3 linked regions of the Arabidopsis thaliana genome follow. The protein of the gene in region 1 interacts with the protein of each later gene in a pairwise test. Each region holds a gene or a part of one and is shown in the gene's direction. Other genes may lie near its edges.

Region 1 (5,006 bases):
CATCGTTAATATCAGCTCTAACTCTCAGGTTATAATTCCCATGCCTTCGTAACCCGCCTAGTATCCTTGCAGTTATAGCCCTTCGATGGCGCTCTCTCAACTTAGTTCGCTCCTTCTCTTCAAGCGGTCTACTTCTGCGACTTCCTCCTCCCCCAGGAGTGCCCACTTGATCTTGCATTGACTGCTGAAACATAAACTCGTCATTACTACTACTGCCTGAAGCTGCGTGTTTGTCTCTATTTCGTCGGTCTCCATCATCTTCTTCCTTCACATCCATGTCCATTTCTTCGTCATCATCCTCTTCACTAGTTCCAAGCAGTTTATGCATATCCGTCGCCATTACTTCTCTTATAACCCAACCACCCAAACCTCTGTTAGTTTAAGAACGTTATTGCCCTCTTATGATGAAATGTTCCATCTTTACTTCTCTGGTTTTAACACTCCACGTGTAATCCTTCTGGACAATGCAGCCAAATATTCTATGATATTTCCTTGCTTACAGTTAGTTAGAAAATTGGAGATAATTTTAGTATCAACGAAATTAATCTTCAATCTCTCAATGTGCATAAGCTGCTCTCAGTTTAACTTCATCAAAGATCCTACAAGACAAAAATCAAACATATAAACAGCATTTTCAACTACAAACATATTTGCAGACATTAAAATGGAAAACTTTTGTGACTAACGAAACCAAACAGAGACTATTTCAAGCACAATTGAGATTAAGTACCTAACCATATATCATTGACCTCTGTGAGTAAGAGACACTAAGCACAATTCTTTCAACAATCACAAGCCTCCTCTCGAAATTGGTCAGAATTCTCGGCCCTCTGGGCGAATCATCGAGCAATACTAAAAAACCCTATAAATGGAGCTTCCGATCAAAGGTTTCCCCCTCTGTCGCCGTCAGCGAAACCAAGAGAGAGGAGAAGAAGACGGTGGATCTCCGGCGGGTGAAAAGAGGCGGATCTGGCCGTGAGATGGAGGAAGCGCGTGAAGGAGCGTGCAGCGTGAATTGGAAGACGAGCTTTCGCGCGTGTGTAGCGCTCGAGCGTGTCTGAGAGAAAGAGGAGTGTGTGAAGCTAAGGCTTGGCACGAACTATGCGTGTGTGCGTAAACCAATTGAAGAGTAGAGACGGGCTCATTAAACGTGTGAAGGGAAGCACGTGCCACCACCACCATCACGAGATTACGATGCACTCTGCGGCGCACAAGGCAAGGCAGGGAGATAGTCACGTGACTTGCCTGACCAGACACAGTTCGCATGATGTGATGTCTAATTATGGTCGTTTGAAAACAGTGTTCACAAACTGCGTGCCGTTTTACTCTTGTAGACGTGGACTTCATCCCGGTTTTAAAACCAAAGTAAAGTCTTAGACATTGACCATGGCTTCATTGGCTTGAACCTTCTTCCTTGTCTCGAGGGTTTACGTTGAATGTCAACTAAAAGTTGACCAAAAACATTCGTTACAAAACAAACTCAAATGTCATTAAAAGATGTTGTAAATCCGATTTAATTTTGATGACAATTACAAATTTGAGATTATTATTATTAAAATGATCTAAAAATATTTAATGTCTACAAAAAAAAATTAGTAAATGACATTTATACGATGTGATTCTAATTGTTATGTCTACATTAATAATTTGTAACTAAAAACATGTGAACCGAAAATAATAATTCCAATAGTAACATTACTCTCTGAAAATTGCAATAACATGGTGTAAATGTCATTTAGAATTTAATTAGAAATGAATGGGACAACCTTTACTTATTAATTATACACCTAACGCATATATAGCAACTAACGTTCATTATGAGATTTGATTAGCCAAATGTGGAAGGCACGTCTCTCCCCCACAATCAGATCGGACGGCCATCATTCGTCGGAGACAATCATAACTTAATTTTTAGTCATTAAATAATAACTCAAGCTGAAGAGGAAGAGACTCCATGTATTAATCTTTGTCACGTTCATCAGAGCCAGAGGAGCCAACAACGAAAGAGAAGAACTTGAAACTCACCAAAAACATTGATCATTATACACAATCGTGATGGAGAGTTCTTCGAATTCCGACCAAAATGAGGGAACTCCGACGAGCTCTGTTTCTTCGCCGTACCGGAGAACATACTCAGATATCTCCGGATTATCTCACCGGTTCGACGTTCAGAGCTTTTATAACCGGCCGTCAAACACTAACGCTGTTGTCTTGAGTGGCCATGAAGAAGATGTCTCCGAAGACGCCGAGGAACCAAAAGATGATGTCGTCAACGACGTCCACGGAGATGGAGACGAAGAAGACAGCGACATTGATTCTGCAGAAGATGCAGGTAAAGTGTTTAAGATTGTAACTTTCTTCTTTTGTCATTTCGTTAAATCGGGGTTTCTAGTGCAGAGCTAGAGATGATGAGGGAAAGATTTGCGAAGCTGTTGCTTGGTGAAGACATGTCAGGAAGTGGGAAAGGAGTTTGTACTGCTGTTACTGTGTCAAACTCCATAACCAATCTCTATGGTTTGTCTTCTTCTTCTCTTTTCAAATATGCTCTGTTTTCAAAACAGAGTATTTATAGTGTAGCGTGTGTTTGTTGTGTTATTGCAGCGACTGTGTTTGGACAGAGTTTAAGGTTACAACCATTGAGTACAGAGAAGAAAGACTTATGGAAACGAGAGATGAATTGTTTCATGTCTATTTGTGATTACATTGTCGAAGTTATTCCAAGATCTCTTGGTACTAACGTTGAGGTAAAATACTATTTCAACACTATCTTAATTTTGACACACACAATTTAAAACGCTAAAAAACCGGTGCGTTGATGTTTTAATTTCAGATAACAGAAACAAAGCTAAGATCTGATATTCTCATGAGTCTTCCTGCTTTGAGAAAACTCGATAACATGCTAATGGTAAGTATAAGACTCGAATTAGACTGATAGATAATCAAGATTCAAAAGATTTCCAACACGACTTGTTTGACTTTTGTAGGAAATATTGGATAGTTTTACGGAAAACGAGTTCTGGTATGTTGAAAGAGGAAGCTCATCGATGAACTCGGGTGGTGGTGGTAGAGATTCAGGAACGTTTAGGAAAGTGGTGGTTCAACGGAAAGACGAGAAATGGTGGCTTCCGGTGCCATGTGTTCCTGCTGAAGGTTTATCTGAAGAAGAACGAAAGCATTTGCGTCACAAACGCGATTGTGCCAGTCAGATACATAAAGCAGCATTGGCCATTAACGATTCCACTCTTAATGACATGGATATTCCTGATTCTTACCTCACCACTCTTCCAAAGGTATAAAAGGATAACTTGCGACTTCCATATAAATGTAATGTGAAAGTTTTGAAATCAACTCGGTGTTGTTTGATTTTATGTACAGAGTGGGAAAGCAAGTGTAGGAGACGTGATTTACAAGCAACTGTGCACAGCCGAGAAGTTTTATCCCGACCAGCTTCTCGACATCTTGAAGATCACATCTGAGCATGAGGCGCTTGAGCTCGCCGACAAAGTTGAGGCTTCACTAGTTACGTGGAGGCGTAAGACTGGAGGATTGACTCACTCTAAGTCCTCATGGGACATGATGAAAGATATCAGTGGCGATGCAGATCGTGGCAATGACAAGAACCACATACTTGCGGCTCGAGCCAGGAGCTTACTCTTCTGTCTGAAACAGAGATACCCTGAACTTTCTCAGACCTCACTTGACATCTGCAAGATTCAGTTTAACCGAGTGAGTAGCCCCAGCCATTTTGCATATTGTTTTAATTAAGATATCGATGGAAAATATCGAAATTATATGCTGAATATTCTTGTGTGTTGTTTTATTTTTTTGGTTAGGATGTGGGAAAGGCGGTATTGGAGAGCTATTCAAGGGTTTTAGAAGGTTTGGCTTATAATGTTGTGTCGTGGATTGATGATGTTCTTTACGTCGACAGAACAGTGAGAAACAGAGATGATTAGGGTTTTTCATACTGAGTTTTTTCTTTTGAGAACAGATTAAGTTCTTTGGGATGTAATGAGAATACCAAACAAATGTGTATGTTTTTTTCTTATGATTTTCTGAATCTTTAAAAGGAATTCTGAACCAATAATACCAAATGAGGGTGAACAAGAATTTCAACCACACACAGTTGATAGAAGATCTTTAATTTCAGATGTTCTTTAATCATCACTAGTGGCCCTAATTTGCCAAAGAGCTTAATCTGTCAATTTTTTTTTGTCTTGGATTGTTTCTTGACTGAAACACAATGAAGCAATAGAGATGGTCTTCTTGTTTAAGTTCAAGCCTTGTTTTATTAATCCTCATATAACAACAACATACAACTAACAGAACTCAAAACTTTACAGAAGCCAAATGGAAAAGAAAACATAATAAGGACTGAAAGAAACAAGACAAAGAGTTTCTTTTGCAGTCGTTGGGGTATTAAAAGCTGTGGTTGTGTGTATCTGCACAAAAACTGAAAACTAGAGCTTGTCCATTGAAGTGGACGTGAACCTGTACAGAGTAAACAGAGGAGCCTCTTGATGACCATGAGTGTCTTTCTCGAACAAAAGTTTACTTTCTGGTAGTGATCTGGAGCAGTGGGATTTAAGGAACCAGCTTGTTGATTCTTTCAGGTTGGACCAAGTCTCTGCAATTGCTGATTATCTCTTCTAGTAGTTCATCAAGGATTATTTCACCTGTTTCAGAAACGATGCAACCAATATCAAAGCGGAGATCCATCCAGTTTCCAGTCCTAGCCAGGTCTTTCCGCACTATCTGGTCTAGTGTGTGAGGAGATGGCAAAGGTAAGAGATGCCAGTAAACTTCTTCTTGTACCACTTCAACAGCATTTTCCATGTCTGGAAAAAAGTGCATTGCAGGTTTGACGAATGAAATCCAAGGGCCATGTCCACAAAACTCCATAAGAACTTCATTGATACAGTCAAAAAGGAGTTTCTTATCGCTGCAGAGATTTGTCGAACAGAAATCTATGTCATCCATTAGAGCCTGCTCAAGAATCTTCTCCG
Region 2 (5,622 bases), on another chromosome or scaffold:
AATATGTTGTATGTTCTTTGTTGCTAGTTTGTGTAGTTACATAAATATTTAGATTCATCTTATATAGTTACAATTTTTATGCTTTGATTCATCTTTTGACGTAAAATATCAAGTATATATTTTTCATGTGTAATATAATTATCTATATACATAAGATCTTAATCTTTTTTTTGCTATCATAAATACATAGAATAACAATATAAGATATATTGATATAATAGTTGTAATTATAATTGAGTTATACATTAGCATGATTTTGTATTTTTCAATTTTTTTGAAGAAATAAGTTAATAGTATTGATGGAAGATTTAATGATGTGGAGGACTTTTGATTTTCTTAACTTAATTTTGCTAAAATTTTTATTGAATAATATAAAAACACATGTAATTTTCTTGTATGATAATGTGACATTCATATGGAGAGAGTTAACCAACTTTCATATATATATTTTTTTCGATTCAAAGTAATTCTATGACATAAATTTTGTGAATTATTTGTGCATTATAAACTTAAAAATTTATTTGGTTATTTACATGGGACACCCGTGTATCGAAAAGTAGAGAGAAGATTGAACAAAAAAGCTAACAAACTTTATTTATCTCAACAAAATATTGTTACAAGCGTTAGTTAGAACTGTGTATCATTAAGCTTATATATATTTGAACTTAAGCTCACTTAATCAAAGTTAACCAAATATTAAACCAACATTAAACCAGCGAACCATACATCATAATACGCCTCTCTCAAGTCTTTATCTTCGAAGTGTCTGGTTTCCGAAGATAAAAACATCTTCTTGAGTAAATGATGAAATGACCCCGGATGTAGTGGCTTTGTGAAGTACAACTATCCACAATTTTCATTTATAATATCTAATGAGAGCATATCCGACAATGTTATAAACATTTTCTATCGATTTGTTAGTGGTTTACAAACCACCAATGACAATTTATTTCATGATAGATTCATTGTGTTTTAACTTATGGACAACCAGCATCACAATGATTGTTTTTGTCTATGGTTTGAGTCACAAGTCCGATTCATAATTGTTTGTAAATAAATATTTTTTTGTTGACTAATAAATATTATATTACAACTTTTTCTTGCAAATTACTAAAACTCAAGATTCTTTTTCATTTTTTCAAACATATATATATATATATATATATATATATATATATATTACAACAAAATTCTCTTATAAATTATTAAAATTCAAATTTTTTTATCGCAATTAGTTCCTTAAGAGAACTTATAAATAAATTAAGTCTTACATACAAAATATGTTTTCAAAAGAGTACAATGTGTTTGTTGGTTTTGCTTTCGTGCAATATCATGAAATATGTTTATGGTTTCTTAATTATTTATACCAATAGGTGATTCACCACATGATGATGCATATGTACAATTTATCTATTATAATGAGTTTACTATCTTGACTCCCACAAATCAAAACCCTTATTTTTCTTTACCGTTGTCCGTTGAGATGATAAAATAATAAACTAAAAATGATTGTACATATTTTTGTTATGATTTGAGTTAGAGTTTTTTTTTTTCGTTTATTTCAATTCTACGTAAAAAAAATTATATAAAGAATTCATTTTATTTGTGACTAATAATATCTAAATATTATAATACAATATTTGTTTTTGGTAATTTACCAAAATTCAAGATTTTATTCTTATTTTTTTCAAAATCATGACGTGGAACGCTAGACGATCCAACTTCGCTTATCTCCTCCTAATTTTCCCTCCAATTACACGTTGAAACAAAACAAAACAAAAAAATCAGAAGGAACCTGAAACTATCTCACACAGTAAAAAACATCACCATCTCAATTCTCAACCACACAAATCCAAAGCTTCTAACTTTTTTTTTTGTTCTTCGTCCCGGACAAGAGAAAACAACGATCTCACTCAATCATCGGCGTGAGGGATAAAGACGATGGCTTTTACTCTAACAATCCCTAGATTTTCTGCAATTTCTCGCAAACCCATCACTTGTTCTTCTTCGAGGACACAGTGTCCTGCTCCCTTTACCCATGGACGATCGATTTCTCTCAGACGAAGACTTACCTTATTGCCCCTTAAAGCTTCTACTGATCAATCAGGTCTCGATTTTTATTTGCCTCTTTAAAGTTTCGATTTTTTTATTTGTTTTTGCCTCTGATCTTTCTTTGGGAACGAAATTGGTGTGAAAAGTTGAGATTTTTATGATCATAGAAGATAATTAGATAAATGATTTCCAATTTGTAGCCTTTTTAGGATTAAAATTTGTGTGTAGCTTAAGGTTCTTAAGTTATTAACTCATCGTTATGTGATCGAAACAAAAAAGCACTCAATCTTCAAATTTAGTTGAGAAAAGCTGTTGTATTGTAGCTTTGATTTTGTCTCTGATCATTGTTTGGGAACACAGTGGCTTTTGAGAAAGTTTTGATTTTATTCAATCATAGAATAAAATCACTCAAGCTTTAATTCTAGTTAAGAAAAGTTGTTATATGGAACTTTTTTCCTCTGTGGATTTTTAGTTTTTATACTCTAATCCACTAAAAGATTGCTCCTTGAGAGTTTCCTTACTTCTTAAAATCATTTTTATGACTTGTCTTCAGGTCAGGTGGGTGGGGAAGAAGTTGATAGCAAGATTTTACCTTATTGTAGCATCAACAAGAATGAGAAGAGAACTATCGGTGAAATGGAACAAGAGTTCCTCCAAGCGATGCAAGTAACACATCAAATAAAGTGTTTTTATCATTAGTATGGGTTTATCTCTATATAATCGAGGATTGTTTCTGTTTCTTTTCTTTTGCAGTCGTTTTATTACGAAGGCAAAGCGATTATGTCTAATGAAGAGTTTGATAACCTTAAAGAAGAGTTGATGTGGGAAGGAAGCAGTGTTGTCATGCTAAGTAATGAACACTTATGATTTATAGTTTTGTCAATAATCCATTCGCCTAGGTTCTTGATTCTTGATCTAATTTTATCTATGTATTGTAGGTTCTGATGAACAAAGATTCCTTGAAGCTTCAATGGCTTATGTCTCTGGAAATCCAATCTTGAGTGATGAAGAGTATGATAAGCTCAAAATGAAACTAAAGGTTCTTAATCTATTTATACTTACAAATACTATTTCTTAGTTTCATCCATCTTGTTACATGTGTAATTTGGACAAACGTTATGATTGTTTCTTTGGTTTCTGTAGATGGACGGCAGTGAGATTGTGTGTGAGGGTCCAAGATGCAGTCTTCGTAGTAAAAAGGTAAAAACTCTTAATTGTTCGGATAGCTCATATATTCTTTGGACATTACAGAACATAACATTAGATTCATTGTTTGGGACAAACTCTAGAGATGTTATAGACTTGTGGACCTCCTTGATTATGCAGGTTTATAGTGATCTTGCCATTGATTACTTCAAAATGTTCTTGTTGAATGTACCAGCAACTGTTGTTGCTCTCGGACTGTGAGTACCTCCGGTTCTGTTCCTCTCTCAACTTTCAAATCACATGATCTTAGCTTATGTTAGTTAGTTTAAAATTGTTGTTTTCTTCAATTGTTCTCCAGATTTTTCTTTCTTGATGACATTACTGGTTTTGAAATCACGTACCTGCTCGAGGTAAAACCTCTTTCGACTATTCTACTATGGTTTGGAGAATATATACTCGTAGTAATTGTTCCAGTATTCATGCAACTGATTAAAAAACAAAAACAAAAATCTGCAGCTTCCGGAACCATTCAGTTTCATTTTCACATGGTTCGCTGCGGTGCCTGCAATTGTATATCTGGCGTTATCACTCACCAAACTGATCCTCAAAGACTTCTTGATCTTGAAGGTAAAAACATTAATCATCTTCCAAGATCAGTTCATGAAGTGGAAAAATAAAAGTTATAGAACTAAATCTTGTTTTCTCAGTATCAAAAATGCTTAAACAAGAGATTAGACTTGAGATAATAATCTATTTTGTGCTAAACGCTACAAATTTGGATTGGTATAGTGCCAAATCCTACGAGTTTTATGCGATTATTATGAAATGCTTTTAATTTTCGTGGAACATATCTTTCACAGGGCCCTTGCCCAAACTGTGGAACAGAGAATGTATCTTTCTTTGGAACGATACTATCCATCCCCAATGATAGTAACACCAACAATGTCAAATGCTCAGGGTAAGCTTCTCAGCTGTAGACTCGAATCGATCACACAAATTGTCTACAACGTTTCTTGAAGTCTTATGATTCTTCTGGTTTTTAGCTGTGGAACGGAGATGGTCTATGACTCAGGTTCTCGTTTGATCACATTACCAGAAGGAGGGAAAGCTTAAATCTAAGAGCCAAGGTTTAATTCTTATCTCAACTTTGATTTCTGATGAAATCTTTCTTGATTCAATGGAAAATTCAAAATTTTAGGGTTTTCTTTTTCTCAGGGTTATGTAGAAGTGTATGTAAAATTAATACTAACAAATGAAGAAGGTGGAGAAATTGAAGAAGAAGGAGAAAAACCAAAGTTTGTATGCTGTTTTGTATAATCTTCAGATCTTTTCATGTAGCTCTCATTGGCTTGTGTTGTGTTTGTAAGTAAGTGTGAGGCACATTCAAAGAAAAACATCATATGATTACTTCTTTGAGAAACTTTGCTCTCATTAGGAAAGTAAAATAATTCAAGAAATAAGCACAACCTTGTGTAGTTTTGAAATAATACTTGTATTTTTTTTGTTGTTATAATTTTGAATGTGTTCCATAATATAGTTTCGTTAATCCATGTGAAAATCAAATATGATGTTCTAAATCATTTATAGGTGCTAGTCAAGGCCAGTCCAAGACTTTTTGACTTTTGTGATTCTATAGTTCATTTTAGTATGATTTCTATTAAGAAGCTGATAGATAGATAAAAGTGGGGAACATGTAATAAGAGTTAAGGATTATTACAAAGGAAAAAGTCATACAAATATTATAGCATGCCAAATTCTATCTTTTTAATAAGAAAAAGGTGCAATGATGATGATGACATCGTCGTCGTCCCATGCCCTCTATATCATCATTTACCTTCCTTTTTTTTCTCACCGTTTAGACATTTCTAAATGTATCATTTTAGGATCGAAAGAATATAAGCAATTTACAAGACTACAAAGTGTGTATAAAGTAAAATGTCACGAGGCTAGAAGAAAGTAGGATAGTATTCTAAGCATTATAAAACATCGGTCATGCTTATTCATTATTATGTCTTAAGGATTAATAAAAGATACATAGTATATACTATATACTGATCATGTCTGTCCCCAAAACACATGCCAACAAAGTAAAACACAATCAATATACTTCTCTCTCTCTTTCTTCTTGATCACTTCTCTCTGCAAAACCTAACTACTTCTTCATTCATCTTAGAATCATTGGGTCCTCTTCACATGGGCTCTATACCATTTATCTTCATCATCCTTCTTTTTCATGTACATAAATCCAAATCTCAGACCATTGAATCAGCACATTTTCTTGATCTTATGATCAGAGATTACACCATTAGAAACTTCAACATACATTTCAAGACAGGTGCTATCCAGAAAGTCCATCTTCCTTCGAATTTCTCCTCCATTGATATCGCCACAGCTAAGTTTAGATGTGGGAGTTTGAGAAGACAC
Region 3 (5,547 bases), on another chromosome or scaffold:
TATTTGAAGTCGATAATTCGTTACCCTTTTGGGCTTTATATACGATTCCCTCTTCTTTACAATAAGTGGTTGGATGATTGTTTAATATTTCTAAAATTTCAGATTAGAAAAAAAAAAAAAAAAGAGAATTCAAAAACAATTTAAAGAATAAAACACTATACATCTACCAGCTATGAGGAGTCCATAACTAAGATATAGAGTAATATGTTGGATCTGTGTCAAAACAAATATTTTTTCTCAGATCATTCTTTAAGTACAATCTGACCATCATTCTTGACGTATATAATATGTGCAGAGTTCTTGGGATTCACTAACGTTGTCATCATGGCATATTCATGAAATATGTCGACAGATTAAATCCGCTTAAGATCATATTTTATAGCTATAGTCAAATATTTAAGATCCATTGTCTACAATAAAAGATGACATTATCTTTTATGGGGTATCAGATCGGCCATAGGCACATTATTAGCTATCAGCCTCCGACCAAAAAAACCAAGGCATTGAATGGATGTATATAACTATATAACTTTACAGCTTTTGGTTTATAGATGAGACGTTTACACTGGGGTAAGGATGAAGTGAAAACGAAAAAAAAAAACATTAGACCTAAAAAAAAACAAGAAAGAGAATGAATATACTTTATAGATTGTATAAACGACATCAACCCGTGATCGTTACGTCTAGGACCAGCCAGATGAATATACTTTATAGATTGTATTTTTTACTTACGTCCAAAAAATCTTATCTTATGTGTTTTAGAAATTGACTAGGTTTAATCCCCATCATATCCATAGGCCCCTTTTATAATGCACATGTGAGATTCTTAATGATCACCATTTAAACTTTCTCCGCGTTTACACAAATTACGTATCTTAAATAACTAACACTCAACTAAAGCCTTTGATGAATATTATTATTATGCTACTTATACACGACAAGAAATTGTCCTAACTACCTACTTGTTGCGAATGAAGCAAGCAAATATGTATTAAGATAATTTATGTTTATGCCTAATTATTATCTTAATCAACAAACTATAATTTACAAAATTGTTTTGTGTGACTGTTGCTCTCTCGGACAACACTCGTTTATTTCGCATCAATTATTCTCATTCTTATGTGACTCACTCAAAACCAAATAAGATGGACCACTTCGAGCCTTGTTTCTGTTATATATTCGTCCACAGGCTACACTGAAAGCGATGCGGTCATAGCCCATTCTCTCGTCGCTTTCATGTTTGTTCTCCAAACCTTTTTTTTTCTCCTTGATTGTGCTACTGCTTTGGCTTCTTTCAATTCTTAGATATTTTTAATTTTATTTTCAGCTATAACTTCATTTAATATGGCTAAATAGTTTTCTTGGTTTAGAGTCTTTAGACTAAGGAATAATTTCATGACCATATTTTTAACTTTTCGATTTTCGAAAGATTCAGTTTAGGCCTAACTCAGTTTGCCAACTTGTGTAGTGTGTGAACAATTTACACAAAAATCAAACTCTGCAAGGTCATTTTTCCAAAATTTTGATTATTAAAAAAATAAAAAAAAAGATGAGGATAACTGACATGTCAGTTTTGTGGTGTCCCTTGTTTTGTCTTTGATTAATGTATGGTTCATTTCATACGAGACCCTCTGTTTTGGCAAACCTATAACGGGTTTTCTCTTATAAGTTCTAAGATGAGAAAGTACTACATTGAGATATAATTACTCAATTACATACTGTACTTAGTCGTAATAATAGTCGGTGATTATCCTTTTAAACTTTCTATGGACCGAAATGTTCCAGAAAAAAAATGCAATAGTTTAGACTTTTAACTTTATTTTATTAGCTTTTCTTCATGTAAACCAAAAATAACCCAAAAGCAAGCGGTAATAATTATTCTGTCCCCCATGAATTGCTTTTACTTTAGTGAATGAAGTAGATTTTAAATGCGAAAATATGGCTGCTGCTGCTCATTTACAGTTTTACACTAATGAATAAATATGATCAAGAATCATTGATTCTACACCTTGTCCCATGTCAAGTCTAGTCAAAAGCTTATTTTATCAACTCCGGCTCTTTAAGATTCTCTCTCTCTCTCTCTCCTTCACCATCTCAGAGATTGCTCCACTATCTCATAGATTTGGTGACCAGAACAACTTATCTCTTGAGTGGTTCAACCTCTATCTCTCTCTCTTTCTGCCATGAAAATGCAAAGCCAAATGTAATAGTTAGAGAGGGAGAAACCAAGAACTGAAAGACCATGACTTCCAACAGAAGCAACCTCCTGTTCTCATTAGTCCTCTTCCACTTTCTTTTTGTCCCCACACAACTCCAAGCTCTTAACACTGATGGTGTTCTTCTGCTTACTTTCAAATACTCCATCCTCACTGACCCTCTCTCTGTTCTACGCAATTGGAACTATGATGATGCAACACCATGCTTGTGGACAGGTGTCACATGTACAGAGCTTGGGAAGCCTAACACACCAGACATGTTCAGAGTCACAAGCTTGGTACTTCCCAACAAACACCTTTTGGGTTCCATCACTCCGGACTTGTTCTCGATTCCATATCTAAGGATCTTGGATCTGTCTAGCAATTTCTTCAACGGGTCACTCCCGGACTCGGTGTTCAACGCCACTGAGCTTCAGAGTATCTCCCTTGGAAGCAACAATCTCTCTGGTGATTTGCCCAAGAGTGTCAACAGTGTGACTAATCTCCAGCTCTTGAATCTCTCAGCTAACGCATTTACTGGCGAAATTCCGCTCAACATCTCACTTCTGAAGAATCTAACGGTCGTTTCCTTGTCAAAAAACACCTTTTCAGGTGATATTCCAAGTGGTTTCGAAGCAGCACAGATTCTTGATCTTTCTTCAAATCTTCTCAACGGCTCTCTTCCCAAGGATTTGGGAGGAAAAAGCCTGCATTACTTGAACTTATCACACAACAAAGTCCTCGGCGAGATTTCTCCAAATTTTGCAGAGAAGTTTCCAGCAAATGCCACAGTCGATCTCTCCTTTAACAACCTCACAGGCCCAATCCCAAGTTCCCTTTCTTTACTTAACCAAAAGGCTGAGTCTTTTTCCGGTAACCAAGAGCTTTGTGGGAAGCCATTGAAGATCCTTTGTTCAATTCCTTCCACTCTTTCAAACCCTCCAAATATCTCTGAAACTACTTCACCAGCAATAGCAGTTAAACCAAGAAGTACAGCTCCAATAAACCCTTTGACAGAAAAACCAAATCAGACAGGAAAAAGCAAGCTAAAGCCAAGCACCATTGCCGCAATCACAGTTGCAGATATAGTTGGTCTAGCTTTCATTGGTCTACTCGTGCTCTACGTATACCAAGTCAGGAAACGCAGAAGGTACCCAGAATCTAGCAAATTTAGCTTCTTCAAGTTCTGTCTGGAGAAAAACGAAGCCAAGAAATCGAAACCAAGCACCACTGAGGTCACAGTCCCAGAATCACCAGAGGCCAAAACGACATGCGGTTCATGCATTATCTTGACCGGAGGAAGGTACGACGAGACATCGACATCAGAGAGCGACGTAGAGAATCAACAAACCGTTCAGGCATTCACTCGAACAGATGGTGGGCAACTGAAGCAGAGCTCCCAAACTCAATTGGTTACAGTCGACGGCGAGACTCGGCTAGATCTAGACACTCTGCTAAAGGCATCTGCTTACATATTGGGAACCACCGGAACCGGGATCGTGTATAAGGCGGTGCTGGAGAACGGCACGGCATTCGCGGTGAGGCGGATCGAGACGGAGAGCTGTGCGGCTGCGAAACCCAAGGAATTCGAGAGGGAGGTTCGTGCCATCGCTAAGCTTCGTCACCCAAATCTCGTCAGAATTCGTGGGTTCTGCTGGGGAGACGACGAGAAACTTCTCATTTCCGATTATGTTCCCAATGGCAGCCTCCTCTGTTTCTTCACCGCCAGTAAGTTCCTCTGTTTCTGTAAGCGCACGAAAAAAAAAACACAGTATCATATCTAAAATACGCAAGTCATTTGGTACACATTAGCACTCTAAAATACGCATCACTGTTTTTTTGTCCTTCACAAACAGCTAAGGCAAGCTCAAGCTCATCTTCTTCGTCGTCATTACAAAACCCTCTTACTTTTGAAGCACGGCTCAAGATAGCAAGAGGAATGGCTAGAGGACTATCTTACATCAATGAGAAGAAACAAGTGCACGGTAACATCAAGCCCAATAACATTCTCTTGAACGCTGAGAATGAGCCCATCATCACCGATTTAGGGCTAGACCGCCTCATGACACCAGCGCGTGAATCTCACACCACTGGACCAACTTCGAGCTCACCGTACCAGCCACCGGAATGGTCCACAAGCCTGAAACCAAACCCTAAATGGGACGTTTACTCCTTTGGCGTCATACTTTTAGAACTTCTCACAAGCAAAGTGTTCTCGGTAGATCATGATATAGATCAGTTCTCAAACTTATCCGACTCTGCAGCGGAAGAGAATGGCCGGTTCTTGAGGTTAATCGACGGTGCAATTAGGAGTGATGTCGCTCGCCATGAGGATGCTGCAATGGCGTGCTTTAGGTTAGGGATTGAATGTGTCTCTTCCTTGCCTCAGAAGCGACCATCCATGAAAGAATTGGTGCAAGTGTTGGAGAAAATTTGTGTTTTAGTTTGATTTCTTAATTCGTATAGCCTAAGTCGTTTTGGCAATATAGAAAGTTATGTGTTATGTATGTTTTAGATGTGTTGCTTAATGCTTACTTTACCCTCGCATAATACTAACTCTTACTTTAGAGTTTAGAATGTGTTTCACTGTTTTGTTATGTTATATCACAACCAAAAAGCTATATAAAAATTAGAATCTTAACCGATGAAGCCAATTAAACCAACACAACGGGAATCACTTAAAATTAACTCGGTCTAACTTCCTAACCAAACTTTTAAACAGACCGACCCAAACCGGACCAAGATTCTAGTGTCCACGCCTCAACATCATCTTCTCCGATCAACTCTGATGCTCACCCCACCAAACTTTACTTTCTATTCAGACAAGACATCTCGATAGCTTATTTCTATGGTCTGATCACACGATAGTGTATTCTGATATCATCACTCTACCAAAGAGATACCAAATTATGGAAGGAGGATCTATCACTCCCGGTGAAGATAAACCGGAGATCCAATCTCCAATTCCACCAAATCAGATCTTCATACTCTCTGGACAAAGCAATATGGCAGGACGCGGCGGCGTCTTCAAAGACCACCACAACAATCGCTGGGTGTGGGATAAAATCCTTCCACCGGAATGCGCACCAAACTCATCGATCCTCCGCCTGTCCGCAGATCTCCGGTGGGAAGAAGCACACGAGCCACTACACGTTGACATTGACACAGGTAAAGTGTGTGGAGTAGGTCCAGGAATGGCGTTCGCTAACGCGGTGAAGAATCGCCTGGAAACAGATTCGGCTGTGATCGGGTTGGTGCCGTGCGCTTCCGGTGGAACGGCGATAAAAGAGTGGGAGCGTGGAAGCCACTTGTACGAGAGGATGGTCAAGAGAACGGAGGAGAGTAGGAAATG

Evidence for each region.
Region 2: the proteins of ROPGEF4 (region 1) and PGRL1B interact in a protein complementation assay, tested with the Arabidopsis thaliana proteins (one large-scale study listed by BioGRID).
Region 3: the proteins of ROPGEF4 (region 1) and AT4G34220 interact in a protein complementation assay, tested with the Arabidopsis thaliana proteins (one large-scale study listed by BioGRID).

What each region holds. Positions count from the first base shown.
Region 1 is NC_003071.7:18,881,485-18,886,490, forward strand, and holds ROPGEF4 (RHO guanyl-nucleotide exchange factor 4), read left to right. Parts: upstream 1-1,892; 5' UTR 1,893-2,055; coding exon 2,056-2,332; intron 2,333-2,397; coding exon 2,398-2,514; intron 2,515-2,601; coding exon 2,602-2,744; intron 2,745-2,830; coding exon 2,831-2,905; intron 2,906-2,984; coding exon 2,985-3,290; intron 3,291-3,375; coding exon 3,376-3,726; intron 3,727-3,833; coding exon 3,834-3,956; 3' UTR 3,957-4,245; downstream 4,246-5,006. Other genes in the region: BAM7 (beta-amylase 7), read right to left, coding at 1-340; TRM13 (Phosphatidylinositol N-acetyglucosaminlytransferase subunit P-like protein), read right to left, coding at 4,585-5,006. UniProt on the Arabidopsis thaliana protein: Guanine-nucleotide exchange factor (GEF) that acts as an activator of Rop (Rho of plants) GTPases by promoting the exchange of GDP for GTP. In association with ROPGEF1, acts as a specific regulator of ARAC10/ROP11 function in ABA-mediated stomatal closure.
Region 2 is NC_003075.7:7,174,029-7,179,650, reverse strand, and holds PGRL1B (PGR5-like B), read left to right. Parts: upstream 1-1,762; 5' UTR 1,763-1,941; coding exon 1,942-2,107; intron 2,108-2,477; coding exon of another isoform or gene 2,478-2,523; intron 2,524-2,605; coding exon 2,606-2,718; intron 2,719-2,805; coding exon 2,806-2,902; intron 2,903-2,990; coding exon 2,991-3,091; intron 3,092-3,195; coding exon 3,196-3,252; intron 3,253-3,378; coding exon 3,379-3,455; intron 3,456-3,556; coding exon 3,557-3,608; intron 3,609-3,714; coding exon 3,715-3,825; intron 3,826-4,058; coding exon 4,059-4,156; intron 4,157-4,241; coding exon 4,242-4,311; 3' UTR 4,312-4,325; intron 4,326-4,413; 3' UTR 4,414-4,765; downstream 4,766-5,622. Other genes in the region: AT4G11950 (transmembrane protein, putative (DUF1191)), read left to right, coding at 5,392-5,622. UniProt on the Arabidopsis thaliana protein: Ferredoxin-plastoquinone reductase involved in cyclic electron flow (CEF) around photosystem I. The homodimer is probably not involved in CEF.
Region 3 is NC_003075.7:16,380,750-16,386,296, reverse strand, and holds AT4G34220 (Leucine-rich repeat protein kinase family protein), read left to right. Parts: upstream 1-1,828; 5' UTR 1,829-2,242; coding exon 2,243-3,923; intron 3,924-4,051; coding exon 4,052-4,644; 3' UTR 4,645-4,824; downstream 4,825-5,547. Other genes in the region: AT4G34215 (carbohydrate esterase, putative (DUF303)), read left to right, coding at 5,105-5,547.